Alligator mississippiensis: one gene and its partner. The protein of the gene in region 1 interacts with the protein of each later gene in a pairwise test. Links are inferred from orthologs where the notes say so. Each region holds a gene or a part of one and is shown on either strand. Other genes may lie near its edges.

Evidence for each region.
Region 2: the proteins of PLEKHB2 (region 1) and CDA interact in binary tests that used the Homo sapiens proteins (3 or more experiments, as listed by UniProt). The two-hybrid records come from large-scale screens. The link is inferred for Alligator mississippiensis from reciprocal best matches to the Homo sapiens genes PLEKHB2 and CDA.

Annotation. Positions count from the first base shown.
Region 1 is NC_081830.1:41,225,246-41,234,702, reverse strand, and holds the start of PLEKHB2 (pleckstrin homology domain-containing family B member 2), read left to right. Parts: upstream 1-4,938; 5' UTR 4,939-5,037; intron 5,038-5,817; exon of another isoform or gene 5,818-6,009; intron 6,010-9,457. UniProt on the Homo sapiens protein: Involved in retrograde transport of recycling endosomes.
Region 2 is NC_081836.1:5,533,164-5,542,410, reverse strand, and holds the start of CDA (cytidine deaminase), read right to left. Parts: upstream 4,636-9,247; 5' UTR 4,579-4,635; intron 3,879-4,578; 5' UTR 3,845-3,878; coding exon 3,658-3,844; intron 1-3,657. UniProt on the Homo sapiens protein: This enzyme scavenges exogenous and endogenous cytidine and 2'-deoxycytidine for UMP synthesis.

The DNA of each region.
Region 1 (9,457 bases):
TAAGAAGGATCCAAAGAGGCTTTGAAAGGACCTGGGAAATTTAAACACTTAAAAGAGTAGTTGATGGCAAGAAAATTTTAACATGTATTGAAGGAAACTAAAATGCATTGTGTAAACAGCTGACTGGTTAGGAATCAGTCATCATTGTTTCCAAAGACGTTTTTACAAACATCAGTCCTCTGATATATCTCTTGATACCAAGCACTCAGTAGGCATTTAGAAATCTATTTTTTTTTCTTGAAATTGGAACTGGGGTATTGTAAATCTATTAGATCTAGTTGAAGTTTGCCTCCAGTATCTTTAATTTAGATGGTGTATAAATATTTTTGTTCTGTTAAGTTTCTAAATGATTGGTTAAAGGAATCTTCCCTGAATGATGCACCATAGTGATGACTGTCCCACTACGTTTAGAATGTATGTAGGCAAGATGAAAATGAAACCTATTAAAAATCCTTCAGGTTTCAGCAGAAATGGCCATTTCCATGCTTCACTGGTATGCTGTAAGTCCCCCTCTGTGCCCTATCTACAAAGAAAGCGAGTCTATAATAGTTCTCAGCTGAACAACTTAGCTTCTTAGCTCAAGCTATACAGACTCAGGCTTTTCACTTTTCCTGCCACTTAACTGGGCCCAAAATGTTTCATTCAAAACATTTCAGGTTTGACGAACATGTGCCAAAGCCAAGGCACAGCTCCTGTGGGATCCTGCCTGGATACCATGCAGACTTTTTAACAGCTGGGAACCTGATGTTTTCAAGGTCAATGGTGCCGTGGCACACGCAGCAAAAGGAATGCTCCACACCCAGGAACCCAGACTGTGACCTGATGCTTCCAGGGTTCCCAGGCCTAACACAGACCTGCCAGGAGAACTCTGCCAAGGTCAAAGATACCAGGAGTTCCAGCTCCTAGGCAGTCAGTTCTGCCAGGGCCTCCAGCAAAGCCTGAAATCCCTGGGAGTTCCAATTTTAACCAGAGCACCAGACATGGAGATCCCAGATAGCTGGCCTTCTTGCCAGAGTCACTGAACAGCTGGAAGGTCCAGGGAGCATATTTCATTTGGGAACTTCCCATGACATTTTCTTGGAGTGCCTGATTCATGGAAAATATGAGAACAGGTTTTGTTTCTGTGTGACTTGGACTCAAACCAAATTTAAAAAAAATGTAATTTCCTGCAAGTTAGAGGCCCTGCTTTTTTAGCCCTTTCTACTACACAGGTCCCTATGCCAATGATCAGTGTCTGCCAAGATGGCAACTGTCATATCAGTAGAAGCCCACTAAAGATTAGAGCTGCTGTGAGCCTCAGATAATCAGGATGAGTTTCCCCAGTCTAGGGGAAGAATGTATCCCACTGGTGAGCAGATTACTCCTATTTCTATTGCTATTTTAATAGTTTTAAACACCAGAAAAGATCTTGTCAACTGGTGAGATAACACTTAAGTCTCCTTAAAGGAACAGCTCTCCACAAGCAGCTGAACTGGAAGATGTGCTGCACCTCTTTCTGGACCTATTGCTGTGAATATAAATAAGTTCTGGTCTTTAAATCTGTAGTGGGTTGGGGCAGGGAAAGGTTCCCAAGAAAAGCTGGCAGTGAAGCAGATACAGCATTTTGGATATGACCATTTTCCTCACCTGAAGAAGCAACTTCATCAAATGCCTCAGATCAGAAATTAGACAGAGATTCCTAACAGTTCACATAATAAACTAAACCAGGAAAAGCCTTCCATCACTTGCAGTCTTTAAATGAAGGCTGGGCATCTCTCTAAAAAGGTTATACTGATTTAGCCAAAATCTATGGCTTTGCTGCAAGTATTGCTGAGTACAACTCTCTCATGTCCTATGTGTGTCAGACTACAATGTCCTTCTAGTCCCCCCACACCTTAAATCCTATAACTCTTTATGACTGTTAGAAGAAAGAGATGGCTAACATGACATGGTGTCAGATATTGTCACATTTTCAATCATCCCAAATGAGTGTTCACCAAACAGTAAATTCAGCCTTCTGGAACTTTCAGTTTGATAGGGCTGTGGACCAACTGATGCAAGAGGAAATGGACTTGAAAATATTAATTATTTGTCTTGGCTGAACGAGATGAAAATAATTATAACTCTGTGGGTGCATCTACACAAGACACTACTGTGCAGTGGTTACTGCGCATTTATTTAGTACTCATATAAGCACTTGTATAAGCAAGTACTAAATAAATGTGCAATAACTGGAATTAATGAGCAGTAGCGCTGGCGAACATCTTTTAAGTGATGCTACTGTGCAGCAGCCTAATAATACTGTGCAATAGTGTATTAGTATTGCCAGTGCTGTGACATGCTCTTGTACAGTACTATTCAGCTACTTCACAGTCAGCATCTTGTGCAGACGTGAGGTACTACTGAAAGATCTCTGAGCATTTCATTCCATTCAGCAGTCCAGTACAAGAATATCCATGCCTTCACTGAATGGAGGAGAGATACAGAGGAAGTATGAGAGCTTTTAAGAGCCCTGTTTGAACAAGGACTGTATTATGACTTTGGTCTCATTTAAAAAAACAAAACAACAACAAAGCATGAGATCATTTAAATACCTGGGATTATTAAACAAGTAACTTTCTGAACAGTTACAGCAAGTATTAGAGCTAACAGCAGAACAAGGGCTCTGCAATCTGAGTCACAAGGAAAGGAAACAACAAAAACATAGTGCAGGAAATAGCAAGGGAAAAAAAATCCTTTGCAGGAAAAAGAGAAAGGCATTTAAAAGAACTGAGGTCTCTGGACAAAAAAAAAAAAAAAAAAGCAAGGGGGGAATTCAGGACAGGAGAGGTTTGTCTAGCAAGCAGATTTGGGCATAGGAAACGTACAAAGACACAGGAGCATTTCTGTTGAAGCACTGAATCAGGGAGGTGGTCCAACAAAGGGTGGGTAATATGTTTCGTAGTTTCATAGTTGGTAGGGTTGGAAGGGACCTGAGCAGGTCATCAAGTCCGACCCCCTGCCGTGGCAGGAAAGAGTACTGGGGTCAAACGACCCCAGCAAGGTGTTCGTCTAACCTCCTCTTAAAGACCCCCAGGGTAGAAGCCAGCACCACTTCTCTTGGAAGTTGGTTCCAGATCCTAGCCGCCTTGACAGTGAAGTAGCGCCTCCTGATGTCTAGTCTGAATCTACCCTCTGCCAGCTTGTGACCGTTATTTCTCATCACTCCTGGTAGTGCTCGGGAGAACAGGGACTCCCCAATGCCTGCTGGTCCCCTCTGACTAGTTTGTAAATGGCCACTAGATCCCCCCTCAGCCTTCTCTTGTGAAGGCTGAACAGGTTCAGGTCCCTTAGCCTCTCCTCGTAGGGCCTGCCCTGCTGCCCCAATCATGCGGGTGGCCCTCCTCTGGACCCTCTCAATGTTGTCCACATCCCTCCTGAAGTGCAGCGCCCAGAACTGGATGTACTCCAACTGCGGCCTAACCAGTGTCGCGTAGAGGGGGAGAATCACCTCCTTGGACGTGCTTGTGATGCATCTGTGGATGCATGACAAGGCGCGGTTGGCCTTCCTAACCGCGTCCCCACACTGACGGCCCATGTTCATTTTGGCATCAGTAATGACTCCAAGATCCTTTTCTGCCTCTGCACTGACGAGAAGGGAGTTCCCCAGCCTGTAGGTATGCTGCTGGTTCTTCCCCCCCAGGTGCAGCACCTTGCACTTGCCAGTGTTGAAACCCATGTTTGGACACAGGACCTGGGAAGTGAGTTTAATTTCTGAGCAGACCCAGATTTGTAACTGTGAAATCTGCAATCAAGATCAAAGGTCTTCCAGAGCCTACATACCACAATCATCTGCCTTTGCCTTCTCAGTCTGATTGGCCTGGTGCCCACTTACAGCTTGGTCAACTGAGGCTAGTTTTTTCTGTGAGCTTGGAGCAGGACTCAAACTCCCACCGTTATATCAGCAGAGACACCACCTCACAATCCTGAGAGTTATGCTGCTGTTATCAAATCTAAGGTTGAATTGGGATGCAAATTTGATTTGTAGACACTTCTAATGGGACGAGCCTTCATCCAAAATGGGAGCAGCCCAGGAGCAGGAGTCACGATCACACGACAGCTTAAGAGTCCACTGCCTGGATCCAGTCTATGCCTGTTACACGTCCAGAGGTAAGGAGCACTATATATGTAGGACACCTGCACACATGACTCTGTGGCACGACACCTGCTACTGAGGAAGCCACCACAAATGACTCATTTCATGCCTCGCTAAGCAGCCATCAGTCAGCCAACACCACAACAGAGCCAGTCCGTTTCAAACCCTTCCTCTTACACAAACTGAACCTCAATAATGTAGCATTCATAATTGTATTAATAGATTTGGGACCTGCTGTAAAGTCACTTACACCCTGCCTAAAAATTGTCCCGGTCTCCCCAGGAAAGAGGGCGGCGCCCTTGTCACAAAGCAAACATCCTTCCTCCTGGCATCCGGTGCTCACCGCATGGGAGCCCGCGTGGGAAGCACACCTCTTATAGAGCTGGCGAATGTGTCATTATTGTGACTATAATCCTCACCAAGGGCGTCACTCTCTCACATGTCTAGGCGCACCCCTTCCTTGGGGAGTGGGGCCTTGCTACCAAAACGCACAGAAGCAGCGGGCAGAGCCGGCAGCTCGCGCGCAGCTCCTCGGCGGGCGCCTGCCTGCCAGGGCGGCGCTCGCAGCTCGGCCGCTGCGGGACACCCCGACGGCGCCGGCCTTTCGCCCCCGCGTTCCCCAGCGCCGAGCAGTGACCGCACGCCTGTCCCGAGCAGGAGTCGGGCAACGGTGCGCGGGGCCAGGCGGCGCGAGCGCGGGTCCCCTGAGCCAAGCAAGGCCCCGGCAGTGCTGGGCGGGGGCGGAGCCGGGCCCGGCCCGGGAGCGCAGCGAACTGCAGCTCCCGGCAGGCGGCGGCGTCGGGCAGCTATGGCGTCACGGATGACAGGAGGGCTGACGTCACAGGGGAGGATTTCCCCCCTCCCCCTTGGCCCAGCTACTGGGGCGGCGTCGGCCTTGCTGTAACCCGGGAGGCGCCGCGCAGGTCGGTGGGGCCGGGCCGGGGCAAGGGGGCGCGCGCGGGGCGGGGGCGCTCGGCCGGGCTCGCCCCACGCCCAAGGGGAAGAGGAAGGGGCCGGGGCGGGGTCGGAGTCGGAGTCGGAGTCTTGCGTGGGGCCGGGCCCGGGCCCGCTCCTGGCTCCTGCCCCTAGTGCCCGAGCGCTCCCGTGCCGGTGGCGGCGGCGGCAGCCCGGGGCCGACCCCGCCCCCACCGCGGCTCGGGGACACGGGCACTTCGGGGCCTTCCCGCCTTGCGCCGGGCTCCCGGGCCCAGCTCGTCGCCCGAGGGCCGTGCCGGCTCCTCGCCCCGTCGTCTGCCCTCCCCCGCCCCGCGTCTCCCCGGGCAGTAGCGACCCCGCGTGCTCTTAGGCCAGCCGTGGCCGCTTCGTGGGACTGCGTGCGAGGCGCGGGCAAGGCTGGGAGTGCCAGGCCGCAGGGGCCTGCAGCTCCCTGGCCGCCCCGGGGCCGGGCACTGCGAGGGGCAGGCGGGCGTCGCGCTGACGGCGGGGCCCGCGCAGCGGCCAGAGTCGCTGTCCGGCGGCAGTGGGAAGTGACAGGCTGCTCCTGGAGAAACAAAGTCAGGTTGCAAGACTCAGCGTGAAGGATTAACCGAGAGAGCGGCTGGCTTGTTCTAAGCACAGCCCCTCGGTTGGAAAGAGGAGAAACCGGGATGCCGTTTCTCTGAGCTGTTTGTTTCCAAGCCCCTCTGAGTCATAACCATCAAGAGGTTTTTCAACTGGATGACTCTGGCCCTTTCTGATTTTAGGCACAGACCCAGCCGTTATCTGGGCACAAGGCAGTGTGTACGTCAGCAGAAGGAGAGCTGCCACCGCAGTGGGTAGCCAGCTGCAGGATTGGGACACTTAGGAGGCAAAGCACCCCCGTTGTTTCACTGGTCACAGTTGGAGTTGGCTCCTGACCTTTTACTGTGGGTGGCTGGAAGGAGAAAGAGGATAGGGTAAGGACAGACACTGGGGGTAAGCGTGAAATCCTGCCTCAGCGCAAAGGCAGGTGGTGGAGGGCTGGTTATTATGGAGACTCAGCACTGGCATCCTTCCAAACCCAATCTTCTGGTAAATGGGCATTTCTGGGTGTGGCTTTTCAGCTCAGTCTTGCTTTGGCCAGTCTTTGCTATACTGCAGTTTTATAAGTGTGAGTTAACATTTGGGTGGTTAACAACACTGAAATGTCTGTGCATCTAATTGGGGGACCCAACTGGGTAGCTTGGGGTGTTTGTTTTTACACATGCTCCAGAGGTAAGGGGCGCTTTAATTAGAGCAGCTCCGAGAGCCGCTCTAATGAAAGCTCCTGCAACGTCTTGTGTATCAGTGTCCTTGTGCTTCAGAATTGTGGTGGGGGCACTTTAACTAAAGCTCAGCCAACAAGCTGTAGTTAAAGTACCCCCGCTGCCATTTTGAAGAATGAGGATGCTGGTACGTGAGATGCAGAAGCCACTGGAGCACACTAATTAGCACGCTTCAGCAGACTCAATCCAGTCTGCTCTTACACACTGTAATTACAGCATGTCGGAGCAGCCTCCCCACACATCTACAGGCCCCCTTGGGACTTAGCTTTGTGGCTGGACTGTTGCACACACAAAGAGCCCCACAAGATCCAGCTCTTGATTTATGGCCATTGCAGTTTTAATTATATTAACTCCTTGTCATTTTCTTTGCCCTCCAATAGCTGGAAATAGGGAAGGTTATCATTATTATTATTTTTAATCTGTTTTTGAGTATAGTATAAAGTTAAGGCAAGAGACATTGTAATTCTGGATCACAGTTATGCTTACTGAGAAAAATGTTACTAGTGTGTCAAAAATGTATACTAGTGTGTATACTTAACACACATACTAGTGTGTATAATCAACAGAGGAAGAAGTATACATCCTCTTTAGCCTTGCTTATGGTTAATTCAGGTCCAGTGTTTACAGAACTCCATTATATTCTTGCTTTTAGATTTCCATGACTGAAAAATTTGTTCAGATCAATAATCAGTTTCAAATATTTTTTGATCCTGTGGTATATCAGTTGTGTTTATGTAAAACTGACTTAGTGATTGCCACTTACTTTTGATCTTGTCAAACTCTGTTCTGTAATTGTGGGGAACCTTTTTTTCAAATGTTGTTAGTTAACTGCAAATTCATAGATTTCATAGACATTAGAGCTGGAAGGGACCTCGCAAGATCATTGGGTCCAGCCCCCTGCCCAAGGGCAGGAAGTCAGCTAGGGTCAAAGGATCCCAGCAAGATAGGATCCAAGTGTTTCTTGAAAGAGTCCGGAGCAGGTGCCTGCACCACCTCCGCAGAGAGTCTATTCCAGGCCATGGGGACTCAGACAGTAAAGAAGTTTTTCCCTATGTCCAACCTAAAACAGTCTTTCATGAGTTTGTGACCATTAGACCTTGTCTTCCCTTGGGGTGCCCTGGTGAACAGACGTTCTCCCAGTTGCTGAGGCACACCCCTTATGTACTTATAGGCTGCCACCAAGTCCCTGAGCCTTCGCTTCTCCAGGTTGAGGAGTCCCATGGCTCTCAGCTTCTCTTCATAAGGCCTGCTTTTTTGTCCTCTAATCATGTGTGGGGCTCTCCACTGGACTCTCAAGCTTCTCCACATCCTTTCTGAACTGCAGAGCCCAGAACTGGATGCAGTATTCCACCTGCGACGTCACCAAGGCTGAGTAAAGTGGGAGGATGACTTCCTGGGTTTTGCTTCAGATGTATTGGTAGATGCAAGCCAGAATTTAATTTGCTTTGCCAAGCTGCAGCATCACGTTGGTGACTTATGTTCATCTTGTGGTCAATCATGACCCCCAAGTCTCTTTCAGTCATGGTGCTAGTGAATGTAGCACTGCCAAGCCTGTAAGTGTGATGTGAGTTTTTTCTTCCGAGGTGGAACACCTGGCATTTCTCTGTGTTGAATGCCATCAGGTTTTGACCGGACCAATTTGCGAGCCTGTCAAGGTCAGCCTGGATCACCAGCCTATCCTCTAGGGTGATCGCACTCCCCCATAGTTTGGTGTCGTCAGCGAACTTGGCCAGTCCGCTTCTGACACCAGAGTCCAGATAATTTATAAATATGTTAAAGAGTACAGGCCTGAGAGATGAGCCCTGGGGGATGCCACTGGTCACCATGGGCCATGTTGATTTGGTTCCAATGACTATACCGTATTTCATCTAAAAATGAAGCTTTGGGAGGGCCAGGGATGGACATTTAATTGTTTGGTACCTACATTACTCCCATTTACTTTCTACCTGGGTATCCAAGTAGAGAACAATTATATACATTTTACCCTGGTGCATAACATGAAATCATATAGATTTCATAGACTTCATAGATTTCATAGACATTAGGGCTGGAAGGGACCTCGGAAGATCATCGAGTCCAGCCCCCCGCCCAAAGGGCAGGAAGTCAGCTGGGGTCATAGGATCCCAGCAAGATAAGCATCCAGTTTCATCTTGAAGGTGTTCAATGAAGGCACTTGAACAACCTCCGGTGGCAGGCTGTTCCAGACCTTGGGGGCTCGGACAGTAAAGAAATTCTTCCTTATGTCCAGCCTGAAACGATCTTGTAGTAGTTTGTGACCATTTGACCTCGTCATCCCTTGGGGCGCTCTGGTGAACAAACGTTCCCCCAGATACTGGTGGTCACCCCTGATAAACTTATAGGTGGCCATCAGATCACCCCTGAGCCTGCGCTTTTCCAGGCTAAAGAGCCCCAGGGCTCTCAGCCTGTCATCGTAGGGTCTGCTTCCCTGACCTCTGATCATGCACGTGGCTCTTCTCTGGACTTTCTCAAGCTTCTCCACATCCTTTTTGAATTGTGGAGCCCAAAACTGGACGCGGTACTCCAGCTGCGGCCTCACTAAGGCCGAGTACAAGGGGAGAATGACATCCCGGGATTTGCTTGAGAAGCATCTATGGATGCAAGCCAGTGTTTTGGTCGCTTTACTAGCCGCAGCATCGCACTGCAGGCACATGTTCATCTTGTGGTCAATGATGACCCCCAAGTCTCTTTCTTGCATAGTGCTAGCCAACATAGCACTGCCGAGCCTATAAGGATGCTGCGGGTTTTTCTTCCCAAGGTGGAGAACCTTGCATTTATCGGCGTTGAACACCATCAGATTCTCGTCCGCCCACTTGCTGAGCCTGTCCAGGTCAGCCTGGATCATCCGCCTGTCTTCTGGTGTGGATGCTTTGCCCCAAAGTTTGGTGTCATCTGCGAACTTGGCCAGTCCGCTTCTGACTCCAGTGTCCACATCATTAATGAAGATGTTGAACTGTATGGGTCCAAGGACAGAGCCCTGGGGGACCCCACTGGTCACCGGACACCACGATGAGTGACTTCCATCAATTACTACCCTCTGGGTCCGACCCCGGAGCCAGTTTTCCAGCCAGTGGATCGTGGA
Region 2 (9,247 bases), on another chromosome or scaffold:
TTGTGGCTCTGGATTTTGTAGGATCAATAATACTTGTTGTGCACTGCAAATGGCTTCCTCTGCACAGCTCATTTCGTTAGCGCTTAATATGCTCTAGGTTAATAAAAATGATTATTCATGATGACTATAACAGTCCTGAAAGCAACATGGGCTCATTAAGGACTACAGCACAAATTGAGCCTGGGTGTAAGCAGGGACGGTGCAATGAGGTGAGCAGAGTTGTTCCATTTCCTCCCAGCAGCAACTGTTGCCCTTTAAATAGCTGTTGTAAGCGCTTCCGGCCCGATGGTGAAAGCTGGGACAAGACGGACTCAGAAAGAAGTACGCCACTTCCTGAGCCGCCAGCACCGACTTCAGCTGGATTCCAGCCGAGTGCTAATAAGGTCCGGCTTTGCTGAGACGGGGAAATCAGACCAGGCTGCGGCTTGCGGGAGGGCGCAGGGTGGCATAACTGATGTGCAATTAAGAGTTGGTGAAGGAAGCAAGGATTACGTGCTTCCTCTCTCCATGCTGCAGATCCCCTGTTCAGTGGCATCCAATGTATGTCTTTCCATTAAACTCACCAGATCCCCCCCCTCAGCAAAAGTGTTGTTTGGTAGCTTTGGCCACTGCGCCTTTGCATTTTTTTCATTATTGGATTGCCTGCATGGATGATTACCCGATTGGTGGGGTGCACACGTTGGCCTGCGCAGGATCCGTTACTATGGGCCAGAGGAAAAGCAATTAAAGCCTAACGTGAAGAACGTAAGCGGAGAAAGCCTATGTGTTGTGTGTTCAAGACGTTCTCATTTCTCCCACCTGCTGAGCTGACACCTGCACCTGAAATCAAGCAGAGCTACAGATGCTCAGCACCTCTGCAAACCGGGCTATAAAGCTATGCTACAAATGCAAGGACCAAAGGTAGCAAAGGATCCCTCAGGCCCCAGGTCCAGATGCAGCAGCTGGATTTGTTCCCTTTGGATTGTTATTGGTAAATAGGTTTTTCCCTGCCCACCTAGCTCCAAGTACCAATATTCAGGCACATTGTTGGGGAGTGTCTGCCCAGGCTGGCCCCTGCCAGAACGTGCAAGGAAATCTCCTACCTTCCTTGGTTTTTATTCACAGGAGGAGCAAAATGAAGGAGCTGGGAGTTGCCCTCAGCCTTCTCCATCTTTCAACAAGCCCTATTTCTGTTTTTTTAAAGAGGACTCAAGGCTTGATCTGTGGTTGAGTCATCTCTTCACCTCCAGTCCAAACTGGGAAATGTAGGTGAAATGTAGGTGAAATGTACCTACTGCTTCTTCTGTACCTTCGTGCTAACTGCTGTCAGGAAGAGAGGATTTATAGTTTAGTAGCCTACAAAGTAATCCCCATCTGGTCTCAATCTGTTGGGGCTTGCTCATGCCCAGAGAAAACCTCACCTAGCAAACAGAAACCAACCAAAAGCCAGTTCCTCATATGATTCAGTGATGTTCTCCTGGGCTTTCCCCACACCCAATTTATTTGCCAGCCTTAGAGGATTGCAAAGATCTGAATGTGGCCTGGGAGATAAGCACAGCTAGGGAGAACAAGATGGCTTGGACAGGCAGGGATGCCTTAGGGGCAGCAGGATCCTAATGCTGCAGCCAGAGGCACTGGCTGGCCAGCCACCATTCAGAAATCATCAGTATTTGTACTACCGCAGCACCTAAAAACCCCAGTCGCAGCCCCAGAACTCACTATGCCGCAAAGGGTGGTTCCAGCCCCAAAGCGCTTATCATGTAGGTATAAGACAAGAATCAACTGGTGAATGCAGAGAGATGGAAGAACACAATGAAACAACGAGATCCAAGTCAGGAATCTGGGTCCCCTCCTTGCCTGCCTTCCCAAAAATTATGAGACTGGCTTAAAAATCAAGCAATCTTTTGTTAAAAAGCAGCACATGTGTGTGTGGGGAGCGGGTGGTTTGTTTCTTGAAGCTTTGATCCTTTAGGGTCCTCTTGTACGAGCATTTCTCTGCACACACAAAGTTTCACATCACTGTTTGCCTCCGAAGAGCTTCAGCTTTTCAAACATAACAAAAACAGCGAGGGAAACAACCTCCCCGTTGCCACCACCAATCTGAGCGGGTGCACTGGACTTTCCAAAGGCGGGGATGCAAAAAAAGGCTTTCTTGTTTAGTTCCCTGTCCTAGTCAGTGCTGGAGTGGGTGGGGAAGCAGGTGAGGCCATTGTCAGAAAGAGGAGGTGGAGGCTGAATATGGATTGAAACTCAGGGTGCTGTTACAGGTCACTTCTGGGACATTTTACTTTTGGGGTTTTTACACGGTGACAAAGTGAGAAGAGTTTCAGAGCAGTCCCAGGTTAAGGCTTTATGCCCTCTCACACCTGCACAGCTGTGACTTGTCACTGGAGAGCCTGGCACGCAGGGGCCTGGCCAGGAGCCGGGGCTCTGGGGTGGGAAAGGAGGGGACAGGGGGGTTGTAGCTGGGAGGCAAAGAAACCAGCGTGCGGGCTCTGGCTTGGGAAGATAAAAGTCTTGGAGAAAAAAAGGCTGTTTGAAGTGAAGTGGGTGGCAGGAGAAGTAAAGAGAACGGAGTGGGGGGAAAAGAGAATACAATGAAGATAAATAAAGGACCAAAATTTTGCATGTGTTTCACTGAATTGGGATTGGGGCAGGGGCGACTTGTGTTAGTGCTTGCACCAAGGCAGAGCTGAGATCCAGCGGGCTCATTACATGCCATCCTGGGGCAGAGTTGAGACCCATCGGGCTCGCTTGCCACACCAGGGCAGCGCTGAGACCCAGCAGGCTCACTGCATGCCACGCCAGGGCAGCGCTGCGACCCAGCACCATGGAGGTAGTAGAATCGATTGCTGCTGCTGTTTGCACGGAGGTGCCAGAGCAAGCAGCAAACGGTTGAAGTGCATTGCCCCTGGGTGCAGAGCAGTCAGGGTCACACCTCTGGGGACGGGAGCGGGTTTCACCTTGCAGCCAGCACCATCCCACAGAGGTGCACCCTGAGATGCTGGAGGCATGAGAGAAGAGCGCTTTATCTCCCCAGAGCATTCGAACAGTACCCGAGGATGACCCGGGTAAAATGGTTCAAAGATAAATGTCACCTCAAAGCGACACAACTGTAAAACATTTAGAGGGGACTTATCACGGGCTAACACTTTTTAATGAGTGATGGCTTGCATGTTATGGTTTTAGGGGAACCTGTAACACCACCCTCAGCTTAGAAAAGACAGGTGAAATCTCGAGTCCCCCTGCAGCCAAGTGAGGTGACATCGGGAGATAAAAAGTAAGGATACAAAAAGCACAGAGCAAAGCTTTCTCCACTGTACTGTGCTCGTAGTACAGACCAAACCTTGTTACTGCACAGCCTGCTGCTTTCCAGACCCCGGCACCCAGCATCTGTACCTCTATAAGGCGTCACTCTGTGGATGTGAGATGTCTCTGCCCATGCAGAGGCACTTGGGTTGTAACTCTGTGGCATACTACAGATGCAGAGATACCCTGAGTTAGCTGTGAACATAACAGAGTCCAAAGAGCACGGGGCAGCCCTCTGCAGAGATCTCCAAGCCAGCTCTGCAAAGGGAAGCGGTGTAGCTACATTAGCTCAGGGGAAGAAGCTCTACTAGGCAGGGAAGGGCACGGCTTGACAAGCGGCTGAGATGTTACGGCTCCATCCTCACTTACCAGAGAAGATCCTCCCGTCACCAGTCAGAAGAGCTGCTCCCACTGGGAAGTGGCTGTAGGGACAATAGGCTGCTTTCTTGGCTTCCTTGCACATGTGCAAGAGGTGTTGGATCTGCTCGGGTCCCACCGAAGAGCTGGCACTGTTTGGCGGAGAGCCCTGGGAACAGTTGCCCGGCACCTGAGCCATGGGCACACTCAGGTGTATCCTTCCCTCTTGGTACCTGCAGCAAGGGAGAGGAGGAAGGGGATGTGAGCCAGAGCGATCGTGCAAGGCAGAGTGAGTCAGGTGTGTGAGTTGATGTCTGAGGGAATGACTCCCATGAATGACTCAGCGTCTGAGGGAGTGAGTCCTGTGTGTGACCTGGTGCATGACACAGTGAGTCCCATGTGCACTTGGTGTCCAAGGGAACGAGTCCCATGTGTGACCTGGTGCTTGAGGGAGTGAGTCCAGTGTGCACCTGGTGTGCAAGGGAGCCCATCCTGTGTGCAACCCAGTGTCTGAAGGAGCTAGTCCAGTGTGCACTTGGTGTGCAAGGAAACCCAGCCCATGTGCGACCTGGTGTCTGAAGCAGCTAGTCCGGTGTGCGCTTGGTGTACAAGGAAGCTCGTGCCATGTGCGACCCAGTGTCTGAAGGAGCTAGTCCGGTGTGCACTCGGTGCGCAAGGAAGCCCGTCCCGTGTGCGACTCAGTGTCTCAGTGAGCGAGTCCAGCGTGCAACTCAGGCAGCAAGTCGGCTGTGTGTGTCGGTGGGGCAGACTTGGGGGCCAGGCTGGCACCAGGGTGCGCTGGCAGCATCCCCACAGGCGAGCGCCGTGCAAGTGTGCCCTGCACTGCCTGGCCCCGCTCCCTGCCCGCCCGGTGCCTGCAGGGGCTGTCGCAGGGCACGGGTTGTGGGACCCCATCCCTCCCGGGCCCGGTACCTGGGCTGTCCGTGCCGTCCGGGGCAGGAGAGGAGCCGTCCGCAGCCGGAGCCCCGCCGCCCCCCCACCCCCGGCTCCGCCCCGGGACCAGCGGCTGCTGCCTCCGCGGGCGGAGCCTGCCCGCCCGGCCGGGGCACCGCTGGAACAGCCGCTTCGACGGCACCCACCGCTGGAACAGCTGGATTTGCGCCTGGCTCGACCACACCCACCGCTGGAACAGCCGGATTTGCGCCTGGCTCGACCACACCCACCGCTGGAACAGCCGGATTTGCGCCTGGCTCGACCACACCCACCGCTGGAACAGCTGGATTTGCGCCTGGCTCGACCGAACCCACCGCTGGAACAGCTGGATTTGCGCCTGGCTCGACCACACCCACCGCTGGAACAGCTGGATTTGCGCCTGGCTCGACCACACCCACCGCTGGAACAGCTGGATTTGCGCCTGGCTCGACGGCACCCACCGCTGGAACAGCTGGATTTGCGCCTGGCTCGACCGAACCCACCGCTGGAACAGCTGGATTTGCGCCTGGCTCGACCACACCCACCGCTGGAACAGCCGGATTTGCGCCTGGCTCGACCACACCCACCGCTGGAACAGCTGGATTTGCGCCTGGCTCGACCACACCCACCGCTGGAACAGCTGGATTTGCGCCTGGCTCGACCACACCCACCGCTGGAACAGCTGGATTTGTGCCTGGCTCGACCACACCCACCGCTGGAACAGCTGGATTTGTGCCTGGCTCGACCACACCCACCGCTGAAACAGCTGGGGATCCTAGAGCGGTGGAGAAGCAGGAGGCTGGAAGGGATCAAAGCCCCAATGCTGTACTTCCCCCTAGAAGCAGCGCCAGTGCACCAGTGCAGGAGTGGCTGCCCCCATTGCACGGCTCAGTTTCCCAGTCATTCAAATACAACGCAGCATTTTAAAGGCCCAGCTGGTCTCCTTGCTGCAGAATTGGGGGTCAGATTTGGGAAGGTCTCTCATCCAGCCCCCTACCCAGACCATCCCATCCAAATCCATTGTCTAGCAGCCTCTTAACAGCCACACAGGCAACCCTGATGCAGCACAGGACATCGAGCAGTGAGACGGAGACAGCAGCAGTGAACAGAGGGCTCCAAGACTTCAGCAGTGAGAGCCCAGAGCATGCCCAGCTCAGGGGGAGATACAGAGGCAGGGCCTCAGCAGCTCCTGCCCTAGCACCTAGAAGATATCAGGCCCTGGGAAACATAGCAACCAGCAAAGCTGGGGCTTAGCTTCCAGTTGGGACCTCTAGGAGCACAGTGATGCAAAGGAATAGCAGTAAAATGGGTTGTAGACTGTGTGGGGGAGAGAAGGTGCCTGCAAAGGCTTTGATATGCAGAGATGTGGCTGACAAGGAAAAGTCCCCTGGGGAGACATGTCTGAAATCATTGCATTGAGATTCTATCCAAGCCCACTGGAGCCAAGCCCGGGGAAGCTGGTCTTTGCGTCCAAAAGTTGCGTCCCTTGGACAACTCCCTCTAGCTGCCACACTGAGCCAGACCTGCCCCGAGCAATGCTGCAGTTAAATATTTCTGTGACCTTAACGGACTCCAGCCACTGAACTGGGTTTCACAACAAGCCTGGCATTGCATATTGTGACTGGGCAACACGACATGTAACAGGTCAGGGCCTGGCCCCAGCTGCTGGAGAGCAAGAGGTTAATCAAAGCTCTGTGTCCCCCTCCCTCAAAGGATGTGAGCGGTGGAGGGGGGACACTCAACCAGCCCCTCTGAGCAAGCACGGTGGAGCTGCATGCACTAGTGCAGGTGGCTATGCAAGGTGTAATAATGCCCAGGGAAAGGGCAATGGATCGGCTGGTTGGCATGTGGGTAGGGTGGCCATCATAGAGGACATTCCAGTTTTCTGCTATTCTGTCCTCTGTCCTCTATTGATATGAAACCTGACGCCTTTATGGCCTCTATTTTTCTCTTCAAGAAAAATAGAGTTGGTTTCGTATCAATAGAGGACAGAGGACAACTGGACTGTCCTCTATGATGGCCACCCTAGATGTGGGGCGGGATCCAGACAGGTCATTACAGGACTGGGAGGAACCTCTCCTTTTCTTCATAGTTTTCAGCTCTAATCCTTGAAGACACCTTGCTGATTGCAAATATATTTCCCTGAATCACCCTGCCAGCTTACACTGTGAAACGGGTCCCTTACCATACCTCTGTACCAGCCCAGTGACTTACCAGCAAACCTGTGTATCTAAAACACCAACATAGAAGTCGCTGCAATGATTGCATTGCTCAATTTCCCATTTACTCAAACACAAAGCAGAGGCAGAGCTGCCGTTCCAGGACAGCACCCAAGACAGCCCACTTGCTGCAGAAATGGGGTTCAGACTGCTACAGCGTGCCTGCAGACTAATGAATAGCACTGGCTAGTGAGGGGCAGTGTTGATCAGTAAATGAGATGCGATCCTGGGTGCCAGGGTCCTCATGCCACCCCTGCCACTGCCTTCCTTGCCTCCCCTTAGTCGAATCATATCTATTCTCTGCTCTGTGCCCTCCCCGTCCCGCTGTTCCTCTCTCTTGCTTGCACAAATAATATATTTCTGACAACAGCAAGAGTCTTGGACAGGGGTGATAAAATATCTTCCAGTAAAGTGTAAAGATTTTTACCAGCATGGTTACAACATCAACATTACCAGAAGCCTCCTCCCTCCCCCTTCACCCGGAAAAAACCTCTTTACTCACATACTGATATTTCTTGAACCAGCATGGCTACAATATCACTCTAATACTGCTTCCAGTGTTTTTTTGATGATTTTTTAAAAAAAAACAACCATATTTTCACTTCAAGCAGTCCTTTTTCCTGAAAAAAACTGGTTCTTCATCAGATATTTAAAACAAAATTCTGCCTGACAAGTGGAAGCATCACTGTTTTGGATGGAAAGTAGGTTTTCCACCAAAAAATTTGATGAGAATAACTCTATTTTTGCAATGTTATTGACATTTTCCACAGAAAAAATGTTATTTGAAGCAGCTAAAATCTGTGGCCAGGCCAAGGGTTTAGGCAGAATCGGTCACTACAGGGCTTTGATATTGACTGGTGCGAGCAGGTATTAGGGTACTGCCACCGATAATAATTCGGAAAAGCAGGAGCTGACCAATGCCAGCTTCTGGGCTAACTTTTCTCTCCTGGCTGGAGCACCTGCAAAATGATGCAATAAAAATAACCATCTAAATACCAGACCCAGAGCAGAACAACTGCATTCTTTGTAATTATCTTTCAGGGAAAATGAGTGCATTTATAATCACAGATTATGTGCCCATTGATTTAATAGGAGGAAAAGGGAATGTTGTGCGATTAAGATTGCATTGTGTGATTAAAATCCAGCTATGTTAAAAGCTGGGTGTGCAGAGTCATGGTGCATAGGAACAGGCAGGCAGGCCCCAGTGGATGGCAAGGGATGTGCACGTGTTTCCAGAGGTGCTCTGCATGGATAAGTGTCACCCAGGGCAGAGACAGGGTGGGAAAAGCAAGCCCCAGTTCTGCAGGCCTCATGTCAACACATTGCTCATTGGATTGGATCCTTCTGGATGGCAGTCTCATCTGAACCATCATTTCATGCTGCCTCTGCCGGTGGCAGAGTGGCTAAGGTGCCTGCTCTGGACTCCTGCCAGAGGCTGCTGTCAGTGGATCTAGCTATATGCAAACATCTGGCCATTTGGCGGGGTGGGGAGGCACAGGATGCCAGCTACATCACTCCCTTGTGTGCTGCTAGCTACAGACATGGGTGTGCATGAACCACACTAGCCCCATGGGCTGTTATGCTTGGGCAGACTTACATTTGCACTGGCTTGTGCTAAGCTGAGGTGTTTGCTCCATCACTGTGCACTCCTTGCAACACTAGAGTCCCCTGTGTGACACCACATCCCTTGCCGTGGAGAGGATGTTGGCACTTGGCCTCTGACTCGAGTAAAGAGGCTTGGGCTTGATGAACACCTGATTCCTGCAATGATTAACTAACATGCTCAGGAGCAGTCTGGGTAGTTGAAGTGACAGAGGAGAGAAGGGGTAAGATTCCCCTCCCTAGGGGGGGAAGGCTCTGGGTCCGGGGTCCAGCACCAGTGCAGCGAGCTCCCTTCAATATATAAGGAAGAGCAGAGCGCAAGGAGCTGTCCAGTTCTGGTGGCTGGTGTCACAGGACGTGGTACCACCAAGTGATGCTCTCCTGGTGATGGGATGCAGCATGAAGACGAGACTGGGCATGGACAGAGGAAGAGCTGCAAACAAACAGGGTGTCCCATGTCCTGCACTGAGCCCCTGATGCTGAAATACTTTGTAGGGAGCTGCTGGCTGGTAAGCAGCCCATAACACATCCCTTGGACCATTCACTGAACCTGCTGTTACCAAACAGCTGGAGAGACATGTCATCAAACGACACAGGTGACTCCAAGCTGCGGCGAGTCCAGCCGGGTGGCTGGATAATTCGGTGACCGCAGATGGCATTCACTTGCATGCAGAATGAGAGATGCCAATCTCGAGTAATCAACTCTCCTGTTTCAAGGCCTCTGCTGACTGCCTGAGAGACAGGTAGGATTTTTTTTTCTCCCCCTTTCCCTCCCCCCAGACTTTAAACTGTGTTGTGCAACTGGCTAAATGCACGGTGGGAAAGTTTCCATTTCACTTCCTTCTGAT